3 linked regions of the Ovis aries genome follow. The protein of the gene in region 1 interacts with the protein of each later gene in a biochemical or structural test. Links are inferred from orthologs where the notes say so. Each region holds a gene or a part of one and is shown in the gene's direction. Other genes may lie near its edges.

Region 1 (4,035 bases):
CTTAGCAGCAGCAGTAGCAGTCCGTGGTCCTGGCTGGGGAGAAATGCCCTGAGACCTTCACAGGAGCCTAGCCCTAAGACTACCTTGGCCTCCATAGGAGCTCAGTGCCCCAGCTGACAGCGGAGAGGGCTATAAGAAGCACAACTTCCAGCTGTCCAGCTGGTGTCAACGACAGAAGCAAGCCCTCTTGTTAGTATATCCTTGCACCTCGGACTGAGGGCTTCCACATCTTCGCTCTCTTTAGATTCTCACCGCCCCCCCCCCCCTCAACCCTGCAATCACTCTGAGAGATCGCTATTAATATCCTCAGATTTACAAAGTGGGGAAACTGAGGTTCAGAAGGAGATGTGACTTCCACAAAATCACACAGGGAACTGTGGGGTTCTGCTCATTGGTCTGCAAACTCCGCTCTCAAAGACTCCACCCTGAAGTCAGGTTCTCAGGTGGTCTCGGCGTTCTAAGCCTTTGTGCAATGAACTTTCCCTTTTTTCCCCAGCAGAAGAGACATCGCGGCTGAGACCCGCACTGGACATCTCCCTGCGGAAACGCGCAGGTTGAATTGGGCAGAAGTTTGTCTCCTTCCCTTCAGACTGGGACAGGCCCTGAGTTTGGAGAGATTGGCACGAAGCTTTGGCAGCGATCATCGACTCCTGTGTAGATGCGGCTGGGTTTCCAAGCGAGCAGAGAAAATGGGCCCGCGACCCTCTGAGTGATTCCCTTGGCAGGAGCTGGCCAAGTGGTACGACGGCAACGTTCAGTCTCAGGTTCCCCCACTTGGACTGAGTCTCATTTCTCGTTGCTCATCTTCCTGCCTCTGACTCTAGCTTTCTGCTCTCTTAATGTCTCTCAATGCCTCTTGGGTTTACCCCCTCACCGTCTCACTAACTTAGCTTTGAGTGTACCTCTGCCTTATCGCAGTGTGTCTCTTTCCAAATCTCTCCCGATCTGATTTCTACCCCTATCCTGCTCCTGGGTCCCCACAAATCAGTGGACCAAGGGGACCCCAAAGTCAGCCCAAAGGTAAGCGCGCGTTGCCAGCGTTTCCCGCGGAAACACGAGGAGTCCAGGGCTGGAGAAATTTGGAAAGAGTGTGCCCGGGAGCCAAGTGCAGTTGCGTTGGGCTGCCAGCCTCTGCCTTCCTCCCCGCCTGGGGAGGGGCCCGAGCGCTCGCGCGCGGGTGTCAAGGGGTAGGGGGCTGGCCAGTCTCTGGCCCCAGCTGCCACCCTGGGGATCCCAAGCTCCTCCCTGCTCTGTTCCTATTGGCCTCGGGCGCCCCCGCCCCTAGCCGCTAGCTGGGGCTCGGGGGCCCTTAGGCTACTACGGGATAAATAGCCCTGGGAGCCTGGTGTGAAGGTAGGGGTGGGGAGGCCTCAGGGCGCTGCCGCGGCTCTCCTCGCCGTCCGTCCCTCAGGCGGGACAGGACCGGGGAGGGTGAGGAACAGCTGGTTATACATTCAGACCCTCAGTGCTTTGCTCTCTCATTGCCGGGGCTCCAGAACCGCAGTAAGTTTCTGGCAACCCCTGCCGCTGCCGCTGAGGCTGGGCAAAGCCAGGACCGCGCCGCCCCACGCCGGGATATGGAGCTGCTGTCGCCGCCGCTCCGCGACGTAGACTTGACGGGCCCCGACGGCTCTCTCTGCAACTTTGCAACAGCGGATGACTTCTATGATGACCCGTGTTTCGACTCCCCGGATCTGCGCTTCTTCGAGGACCTGGATCCGCGCCTCGTGCACGTGGGCGCGCTCCTGAAGCCGGAGGAACACTCGCACTTCCCTGCAGCGGCGCACCCGGCCCCGGGCGCGCGCGAGGACGAACATGTGCGCGCGCCCAGCGGGCACCACCAGGCGGGCCGCTGTTTACTGTGGGCCTGCAAGGCGTGCAAACGCAAGACGACTAACGCCGACCGCCGCAAGGCTGCTACCATGCGCGAGCGGCGCCGCTTGAGCAAAGTCAACGAGGCCTTCGAGACGCTCAAACGCTGCACGTCTAGCAACCCAAACCAGCGGCTGCCCAAGGTGGAGATCCTGCGCAACGCAATCCGCTATATCGAAGGCCTGCAGGCGCTGCTTCGCGACCAGGACGCCGCGCCTCCCGGCGCTGCCGCTGCCTTTTACGCGCCTGGCCCGTTGCCCCCCGGCCGCAGCGGCGAACACTACAGCGGCGACTCGGACGCTTCCAGTCCGCGCTCCAACTGTTCCGACGGCATGGTAAGGCCAGGACCCTGGGCTAGAGAAGTGCGGGCAGCTCTTGGTATATCAGGAATGTGTTTACGAGAGGGCAAGGAGCTGGCCATCTGGTAGGGAGGGTTGGGCGGGGAACCTTCCAGGGAGTGGACCCCTGGTGGAGTCCACTGCCACCCCAAGCAGCTGTCACTGGGATGGCCTAGGGCTTTGGGGACGCACAGGAAGAATACGATCCACCCGATTGGGGGCACTGTTAGAACACTGCTGCGCCGACACGAAAATCTGCTTTTTCTCCTCTAATCCCTGTTGCCGAAATGCAGATTTGTGCTCCTGGGTGACTGTCTGCCCTCTGTTTGGCCCGGCATGCTGCAGACAGCTCCTGCCCACCCTTGCTCCCGAACCCAGTCAGATCCGGGCCCGGAACTCTCGTTGCTGAGATTTGGGGAGTTGGGGAGTCGGGGAGGGGGCGGCTGCAGGGAATGGAGCTCCTGCCCTGCGCAGTTCCCAGGCCTGACTCGGTCTTCCTTTCCATTTGCAGATGGACTACAGCGGCCCCCCGAGTGGTGCCCGGCGACGGAACTGCTACGACCGCGCTTACTACAGCGAGGCGCCCAATGGTGCGTAATCGCGCCTCCTTCCCCATCCCTTTTGAGCTACTCTGGCTTCTCTTTATCTAAGACCTCCTTGCCCCCATCCTGGGAGATGGTACCGGGAATGAAATACTAAGCATGTAGTTCCCTCCTTTTTCATCCTGAAGTTTCGTGGGATCCTCACGAATTCTGGCTGGCCCTCAGTTTCCCCGTCTGCCTCAAAGCACTGAACTCGGAGGTGGGAGACTTATGCACCCCCGCATACTAACCTACCCCTCCCCGCGCAGAACCCCGGCCCGGGAAGAGCGCTGCGGTGTCGAGCCTCGACTGCCTGTCCAGCATCGTGGAGCGCATCTCCACCGAGAGCCCCGCAGCGCCCGCGCTTCTACTGGCCGACGCGCCGCCGGAGTCGTCTCCCGGCCCGCAGGAGGCGGCCGCCGGGAGCGAGGTGGAGTGCGGCACCCCCGCCCCTTCCCCCGACACTGCCCCTCAGGGCCTCGCGGGCGCGAACCCCAACCCGATTTACCAGGTGCTCTGAGGGGTTGGGCGGCCTCATCGGGGGGCGCCGCTGCCCACAGGCCCGAGGGATGGTGCCCCTAGGGTCCCTCGCGCCCAAAAGATTGCGCTTAAGTGCCAACCACTCTCCTCCCAACAGCGCTTTAAAAGCGACCCTCCCGAGGTAGGAGAGGCGAGGGAACTGTTGTGTTTCCGCCTCCCGCACCCCAGGGCAAGGACATGGTCCTTCCCCCCCCCCCCCCCCGCCCCCCCTCCCCACTCAGCGCTCTTCCCTGAGACCCGCTGTGGTGGCCACTTGATGTTACTCCGTGGGCCAGAGCTGACCCTTGAAGAGCCAGGCCCTTCCTCTTCCTCGCCCCCTCCCCCATGGCGGGGTGGGGCCCACGCAGGCCTAAGCCCCGCCCCCAAGACCCCCGACCGCTTACAGGGGCGTGCCCCTCCGTTCCGGAGCCCCCTGGTGACTTCAGCTGTTTCCCGCCGCTCCCTTCCCAAGTGTTAACAGGTGTAACGGTAACCACTCCCACCCCCCAACCCCCACCCCCGGTTCAGGACCACTTTTTGTAATACTTTTGTAATCTATTCCTGTAAATAAGAGTTGCTTTGCCAGAGCAGGAGCCCCTCGGGCTGTATTTATCTCTGAGGCATGGTGTGCGGTGCGACAGGGACTTTGTATGTTTATACGGCAGGCAGGCGAGCCGCGGGCGCTCGCTCAGGTGTTCGAAATAAAGACGCTAATTTATACCGCG
Region 2 (4,166 bases), on another chromosome or scaffold:
TGGAAGGACTGATACTGAAGCTGAGACTCCAGTACTTTGGCCACCTGATGCCAAGAGCTGACTCATTTGAAAAGACCCTGATGCTGGGAAAGATTGAAGGCGGGAGGAGAAGGGGACAACAGAGGATGAAATGGTTAGATGGCATCACCAACTCAATGGACATGAGTTTGAGTAAACTCCAGGAATTGGTGATGCACAGGGAAGCCTGGCATGCTGCAGTCCATGGGGTCGTAGAGTCAGACATGACTGAGTGACTGAACTGAACTGAAGCCCTAGATCTGGCCTTGATCTCATGGCCAGACCTCATGGTCTGGCCTTGAACAAGTTAGGCGTCTGTTTCTTTAGCCATAGCATAAAGACTTGGTCTACTGGGACTTCCCTGGTCGTCAAACTGGCTAACACTTTGTGCTCCCAATGCAGGATGCCCAGGTTCAACCCCTGGACAAGGAACTAGATCCCATATGCTGCAACTAAGACCTGGCGCAGCCAAATAAATACATGTATATATAATATATATATAAAATTTATAAAAAGGAAAGCAATTTGTCTATTAAACCTCTGAACTTCTTGTCAGCTATCAAATTCTATCATTCATTCAGTCCTTGATGCTTGATCAAAACATATGCGCTCTTCAGGCAGCGAGAAATCAGACCTCCAAAAAAATTGTGGGTTTATAGAGACTTGTCAAGACTTACCTTAAATAGGATGCACAGCCATGTTAAATTCTTAAGTTGAAAAAGATAACAAAGTAACTAAAAACTTTGGAGAGAAAACTTTTCCTCATAGGATAGCAGGCCATGAAGTGACGTGACTTGAATGATTAAGCTGACTTTATTTTCCCAAGCTGCTTTGAAGAGATCATCTAAGTATTATTCCAGACACCCATCACTCTTATTTTTAGCTCTGAGTTTCCTTCACAAGAACAGTGACCTGTGTCTTCGAGTTCCAGAGGGCGCCCAGATATGGTTCATGATTCATGTGCAGGTACTTTGCATTGATTTCCAGGAAGGTCAGGAGAGTGGGAGCCTGGAAAATTGATTTTAGGTGTAAAATCCTTTCTTGCTTTTGTTCCTGTTCCCAGCATTTGATCAGAAATGCACACTCCACAAATTGATCCCTGTATGCCAAAGGCTATTGGCAAATACAACAAAACCCAGGCGATATGGTTCTGCAGGGGCCTCGCAGCTGGTGTGGGGGGAACGACACTCAGGGCTTTGGTCACAAGCTATTTTCGGCCTCTGATAGCAGTTGTGTTACTCATGTCTCATTCACCCCCTCCCCTCAGCCTCCCTCCCCTTCCCTGAACTGAGGGCCAAGGCTGGTGACGGCCCTCATGTATTTAAAGAGGACGTGAGCCCCCTTATGCAGCTGAGCCGACAGAGATCACACAGACAGGTGAGTGGAGCGAAGGGCATCAGGCCTGGGGGTGAGCTGGCCTGGGGGCGCACTGGGACTACGAAGGGTCCGTAGAGTAAGGGTGTGCTTCATAGAGCAAGCGTGTATTTCTTTCAAGCGCCACCAGCCACTTTGGTTCCATGTGAGGAGGGTCAAGTTATGCTCGATTCTGGGGTAGACTAGAACACTCCTCAAAGGGTGATTAGCATTCGAGGGTGCAAGGAAAGCTCCCAGAGAATGAGTAAGGAATCATTTTTGGTCTAAAACTATTTTGATGGAATAATGTTTCTTATTGTCTTAGTCAAAAGGTGTTCATTCTAGTCCTAGGATCACATAACGAATGACATGTGACTTTGAGAAAGTCCCTGCCCTCAGGGTCTTGGTCTCCCCTCCCAGGATCAGTATGGATGTGGTGACATTTTCCTACATTGTAAAGCCCTGCGCAACGTGGTTACAATAGACACGATACAGCAGAAGCCACCTTTCCAATGCTTAAAATACAAGGATCTGTTCTTTTTCAAAAGGTGTGAGTGAGTGACTCAGACTTCTACAGTTCACCTTATCCTGTCTTGCACTTTGGTAAAACTTGAAAGTCATTGATTTAAAACAGATTTTATATCCCAAGGATGTTCAGCAATAGGCTTGCTCTTAAGCATTTGAAACTAATCAAAACAAGCCCCCCAAAAAGACATGTCTGTGTCGAAAATCAATTAAAAGTTCTGTTTGCTGGGAAGACCATTCCCAGCTGGGGCTTGAGGGGTGATTCCCATTGTTTCCCCTAGATTTCAGTACAGGATTCTGTTGTTACTGTTGCTGTTACATCCCAGTGAATGACAGGCATGAGTGTGACTGAGAGTGAGAAATGAGTGAAAATGCTGTCCAAGGATCAGAGCCACCGCCTCTAATTCCTGTTCCCTTCACTGAGCCAAGGTGGTGACTCAAGAAGGGAGGGTTGGCAAACAGGTCTGAGGACCCCTGTCTCTGCAGTACAGTTTACAGTTCATTGCCATTGATGAGCTTATACTGACTGTCTCCTGAATGCAAGGAAGGGTGGGCATCAATACAAAAAGGGCAGGAAAATGGGGAAAACCTGTGTCCTCAGTTTATAATATTTTGGGGATTGAACTGCAACGCTGGGTACATTCAGTTCATTGCAATGTATGTAAAACTTCTATATGACCCAGAAAATGTCAGAGATTCTTCTGGCTTGACTTCGGTTCCATTCTGAACAATTCAGTCCTTAAAAGAAGCCCTGCCTATTGGTAGGGGTACAGGTGACCCCCAGGCTCAGAACCCTCTCAAACGGGCAGACAGGTGCTCTGCAGCCCCCCACACAAGCCATCCACTGGAGATGGAGGAGGTAGGAGATTGGGGGCAGAGAAGGAGAAGGAAAGAGTGAGCAGGATCTTTCAACAGGCAAATTGCTACAGTCCTCCTGGAAGACGGGGAGACAGACTCTTGGGAAAATACAAATTCAGAAATCCTGGGGGACTTCCTTGGTGATCCAGTGGTTAAGAATTTGCTTTCCAGTGCAGGGAATGTGGCTTTGATCTCTGACTGGGGATCTAAGATTCCACATGCCTGCTGTAGGGCAACTAAAACTTTGTGCCAGCCTGTGTGCTGCAAAGACCCAGTGCAGCCAAAAAAAGAAAAAAAAGTTCATGTTTAAAAAAAAAAGAAAGAAATTCTTCAAACTTGAAAAAGGAAATAGTAGCAAATGAAGAGCCTCAGCCATAGAGGCAGTTCAAATTCTAGCTTTGAATATCACTTCCCTGAGTTTCCATTTCTGAACAGTAAAAATTAAAGTTAGGCCACCTATCCCAAGGGCATTTGTTAGAAACAAATGGAATAAAGTATGAGAAAGTAGTCTGTAAGCTTAGTAAAACTGTACCAATAGTTCAGGCCTTGGAGAAAAGGCACAGGGCCACACCCCATGGGCTGCGAGAGGATTTCCTGCTAAGTACAAGTGTGTTAGATGCTCAGTAGTGTCCGACTCTTCGTGACCCCATGGACTGTAGTCTGCCAGGCTCCTCTGTCCAAGAAAGAATACTGGAGTGTGTTCCCGTTCCCTTCTACAGGGGATCTTCCCATCCCAGGAATCGAACCCAGGTTTCCTGCATATGCAGGCAGATTCTTTACCATCTGAGCCACTACAAGTGCGATGGTAGAGGTTGGAGCAAATAACAAGCTGATCAGGAGTTAGATGATTAACCTGTTTTATAAGAGGAAGGACACAGACAAGGAATATAACACACGGGAAATAGAACTCCTGAGGCAGGCAGACTTCCAATTATAAGTGTGCCGCTCAGATTTTCGGGAGTACTATATCCAAGAGCTGGACCTCACAGCCAAAGAGAAATGGCATGCCTTCAACTGTGAAGAATCGCAGTTACTCACTGCAGTGAAGGAAAGCGGGAGAAGAGACAATCATTGTCTTATTATTGGGCCCAAAGAAGACAGAAGCTTCTCTGAGCCTGACCGGTGACCTCATCATGGGAAAGGGGTCATGATTTGTCCGTTGTTTACTGCCCTGTGCAGGCGTGCAGCGCAGTTAGCCAAAAGTCACCAAAAGTGGTGCAAGACGTCATTCTTCACAGCGAGTAACGAAACTTCAGAGAAGCAAAGTAATCACTCAGGGTCACGTGGCTAGGAAGTGGCTGAATCAGGATGCACCCTAGGGTGCAACATGGTCTTTAAAAACAAATTATAAAGGTCAAGAGAGCCGAGTGAGTTTCTGAGAGTAACAGTCGGCCACATCCTCAGAGACGATT
Region 3 (3,826 bases), on another chromosome or scaffold:
GTGTCTGCGACACTTGTCGAAAAAAAATTAACAAAAAAAAGAAACCCCACAGACACACAGGAAGCAAGGACTCAGTAAACATTTGCTGAATGAATGAATGAAACAAAGACACAAATGAGAACATGTTTTCTGCTAGCGATGGAGCAGAAAGACGACAGCAGCACCTCCCGTCCCTCGACCCATCTCCCCGCTTAGAGAGAGTGAGAGACAGGTAGTGAGACTCAGGCTCGGCTTGCAGCCCGGAGTTGGGAATCCTGGGTGGCCCAGGTTGCCATGGCATCGCATTGGACTCCACCCTCTCTCTTCTCCCGCCCCAACGCCCAGCCAGAGTTAAGGCAGCCAGTCACGTGCCCTTCAGCGTAACCACACCTCTGCTCCTCCAAGCAATGTCAAGCGGTCACGTGTGATAGCAACAGATCATGTGGTTGCCATCTCTCTCCGCCTCTTTCCCCTCCTCGCCCCTTTCTCGTTCAAAGCCGCTTTCTGGCTGCCCCTCCGCGCATGAGTAGTCCGGTCACGTGGTCCGAACGTCCGGCGTTGGCCCCGCCCCTCCAATTTCCGCGCGCCTCTTTGGCAGCTGGTCACATGGTGAGGGTGGGGGTAAAGGGGGCCGCTCTAGCCTGCGGCCTGTGTCTATGGTCGGGCCCATAGCGTCCAGCTGCCCAGGACAGACCTCGAGTGTATGGCGCTGCAGGAACCGGCTCCGGGGTCCGGATAACGGGCCGACCCCGCAGCTCCTGACACGGGGCGAGGTGAGTGTAGCCCTTTTCAGGAATGGGGACCATTCTCGCCGTCCACTGCTTCCTACGCGGGCTGGTTATGGAAGGGTTGCTCGAGGGCGGGAAGTGGGGCAGGATGTGATAATGTTCCTTTGTGGCCGAAGGGAGGTGTAATTTCAGGAACTGGGTGTCGGGTCTTTGATGTAGGGGGTGTGTCTTATGGGATTTCCCTTGTGTGGGGCTTGATGGTCCCCAAGGAAAATGCATCTTTGAAAAAGTTATAGGGCCTCACGTGGCTGGAGGGTTTGGGGTTAGAGTTATTGTGTTACCTAGGGGGCTGCCTTCAGGGAAGCTTGGGAATGCTGTTGGTGTTGTCTTCGTGATGTCTTTTGTGGGAGTCACTTTGTTGCTGCAGGCTCATTGAGCCTCTGTGATTGTAGGGCCTCCTCTGGTCTGAGAATGGCTACCTCTCGATACGAGCCAGTGGCTGAGATTGGTGTCGGTGCCTATGGGACAGTGTACAAGGCCCGTGATCCTCACAGTGGCCACTTTGTGGCCCTCAAGAGTGTGAGAGTCCCCAACGGAGGAGGTGCTGGAGGGGGCCTGCCCATCAGCACCGTTCGGGAGGTGGCCTTACTGCGGCGTCTGGAGGCTTTTGAGCATCCCAATGTTGTCAGGTGAGAAGAAGATGGAAGGGTGGGAATGGGTCGTGAAAGGAAAAAGACAGCCTAACCTGTAGATGTGGAGTGGTGGTCAGAAGAGGAGTGGGAACCCTGAGGAAATAGGGGAGGCCATGTTGGGTCCAAGACCATTGCTCAATGAGTGACCATTTGTTCTGGCCAGGCTCATGGACGTCTGTGCAACAGCCCGAACTGACCGGGAGACCAAAGTGACCCTGGTGTTTGAGCATGTGGACCAAGACCTCAGGACGTATCTGGACAAGGCACCCCCACCAGGCTTGCCAGTGGAGACCATAAAGGTAAGTAGGGCGGGCAGACACTGAGAGATAGCTTGAGACCTTTGTGGTAGTTTGTTGTAATTTCAGGTGTGGCACCTGATTCCCAGTTTCTCTGTACTTCCCCCTTCCAAACCAGGATCTGATGCGCCAGTTTCTAAGAGGCCTGGATTTCCTTCATGCCAACTGCATCGTTCACCGAGACCTGAAGCCAGAGAACATTCTGGTGACAAGTGGTGGGACAGTCAAGCTGGCTGACTTTGGCCTGGCCAGAATCTACAGCTACCAGATGGCACTTACACCTGTGGTCAGTAGAATGATGGTGGCCAGGATGGGGCCAGAGTGGGGTCTGGCTGGGGGAGAAGAGTGATTGCCCATAACAGTTGAGAAGGAGCGTGTTTTTCCATGTGCTTTGCAGTAACTTGCAGGACTCTCATCCGCATTACTTATTCCCATCAGGTTGTTACACTCTGGTATCGTGCTCCAGAAGTTCTTTTGCAGTCTACGTATGCAACACCCGTGGACATGTGGAGTGTTGGCTGTATCTTTGCAGAGATGTTTCGTCGAAAGTATGGGGCCCAAGTATCCCAAACATTTTGAATTTCCCAAGTTTTTTATTCATAAGCCACGCCTATACCCTGCCTGCTCTTCCACTTACTATTGGCCACCTTGTCCATAGCCGGAAACTCTGAAATGTTCTGGAATTAGGAATTTCATAGCCCTTTATTCTCCACACCCTATGTTTTGAGCCACTAAACAGTATCTACCACCCTGTCTTTGTAAAACTGCTACTGGAATGACTGTCTCTTTTCACCTTAGGCCTCTCTTCTGTGGAAACTCTGAAGCTGACCAGTTAGGCAAAATCTTTGAGTAAGTGACCTGCAAGGGGGAAGAACTTTGCATTCCGAGTCCTTGACTTTGCATTCTGCTGAGTCCTTGACAGCAGCTGGCTCTGCCCCTGGAGATGGGGGCTGGAAAAAGGCCCTCCTGACCAGAATTCTCTTGTTCCCCATAGCCTGATCGGACTGCCCCCGGAGGATGACTGGCCCCGAGATGTCTCTCTACCCCGAGGAGCCTTTTCCCCCAGAGGGCCCCGCCCAGTGCAGTCAGTGGTCCCTGAGCTGGAGGAATCCGGAGCACAGCTGCTGCTGGTAATAGACTCAGGCATGGGCACAGGGCGAGACTACAGGGGGAAATCACGTGTTTGTCACTCAGTCCTGTCAGACTCTTTACAACCCCATGGACTGTAGCCCACTGGAGTGGGTTGCCATTTCCTTCTCCAGCGGGTCATCCCAGGGATTGAATCTAGGTCTCCTGCATTGCAGGCAGTTTATTTTACCACTTGAGCCATCAGTGGGGGGAAATGGAGCAGGATAAAAGGGACCCAAATGCATTGTTGTTACTGAGACTTGATAATGAACAGGTTGGTTTTTATTACTGTTTTGAACGGCTGGCCACAAGAGGGATAGAAAAAAATCACCCATTCTAGGTATTGTTAGGGTTAAGCAGGAGTCCCTTTTGTTTCTTCCATGTTTTCTGACATTTGCGTCTCTTCTCAGGAGATGCTGACTTTTAACCCACACAAGCGAATCTCTGCCTTCCGAGCCCTGCAGCACTCTTATCTACACAAGGCAGAAGGTGACGCAGAGTGAGCAACAGAATGGCTGGAACAGAACCAAGGCGAGAGACACAAATTTCCCTTCTTTTGAACACTTGAGTGGAGAGCCCCACCACTGAGAAGGCAACCTCTGCCTTCACCTCTGAAGCTGTGGAGACGACTCCTCCAACTTTTTACAGACAATATTTTACTGCCTTAACAATATTCCCCTCCCACCCTTCTTTTTGAGGCTTATCCTTATCCTGTGTCCTTACACCAAGAGATATGTCCCTTGTTCTCCCCTTCTTTATACCTTTATATTGGGATCCTTTTTTATACAGGACAAACAAAACAAATATGGTCTTTTTTTTTTTTTAATATTTCTTCCTCTGATTGGCTTTACTGTTTGGGAATTTGGAAAAAACCATTTGGAAGATGGAATTTCCTTGCAGATTCTCTTTAGATCACAGGGTCAGTGGAGCCCCTCTACTAACAAGGGAAGGAAAGGCATTTACATGGCTTCTTTGATTATAGAGTTTAAATGGTTTTTATTTT

The links.
Region 2: the proteins of MYOD1 (region 1) and CSRP3 form a complex in vitro, tested with the Homo sapiens proteins (2 studies listed by BioGRID and IntAct, with this or other methods). The link is inferred for Ovis aries from reciprocal best matches to the Homo sapiens genes MYOD1 and CSRP3.
Region 3: the proteins of MYOD1 (region 1) and CDK4 form a complex in vitro, tested with the Homo sapiens proteins (2 studies listed by BioGRID). The link is inferred for Ovis aries from reciprocal best matches to the Homo sapiens genes MYOD1 and CDK4.

The regions. Positions count from the first base shown.
Region 1 is NC_056068.1:34,553,440-34,557,474, reverse strand, and holds MYOD1 (myoblast determination protein 1), read left to right. Parts: upstream 1-1,235; 5' UTR 1,236-1,577; coding exon 1,578-2,207; intron 2,208-2,721; coding exon 2,722-2,800; intron 2,801-3,060; coding exon 3,061-3,311; 3' UTR 3,312-4,030; downstream 4,031-4,035. UniProt on the Homo sapiens protein: Acts as a transcriptional activator that promotes transcription of muscle-specific target genes and plays a role in muscle differentiation. Together with MYF5 and MYOG, co-occupies muscle-specific gene promoter core region during myogenesis.
Region 2 is NC_056074.1:23,277,031-23,281,196, forward strand, and holds the start of CSRP3 (cysteine and glycine-rich protein 3), read left to right. Parts: upstream 1-1,366; 5' UTR 1,367-4,166. UniProt on the Homo sapiens protein: Positive regulator of myogenesis. Acts as a cofactor for myogenic bHLH transcription factors such as MYOD1, and probably MYOG and MYF6.
Region 3 is NC_056056.1:161,900,650-161,904,475, forward strand, and holds CDK4 (cyclin-dependent kinase 4), read left to right. Parts: upstream 1-1,178; coding exon 1,179-1,396; intron 1,397-1,562; coding exon 1,563-1,698; intron 1,699-1,813; coding exon 1,814-1,981; intron 1,982-2,133; coding exon 2,134-2,243; intron 2,244-2,493; coding exon 2,494-2,544; intron 2,545-2,689; coding exon 2,690-2,825; intron 2,826-3,233; coding exon 3,234-3,326; downstream 3,327-3,826.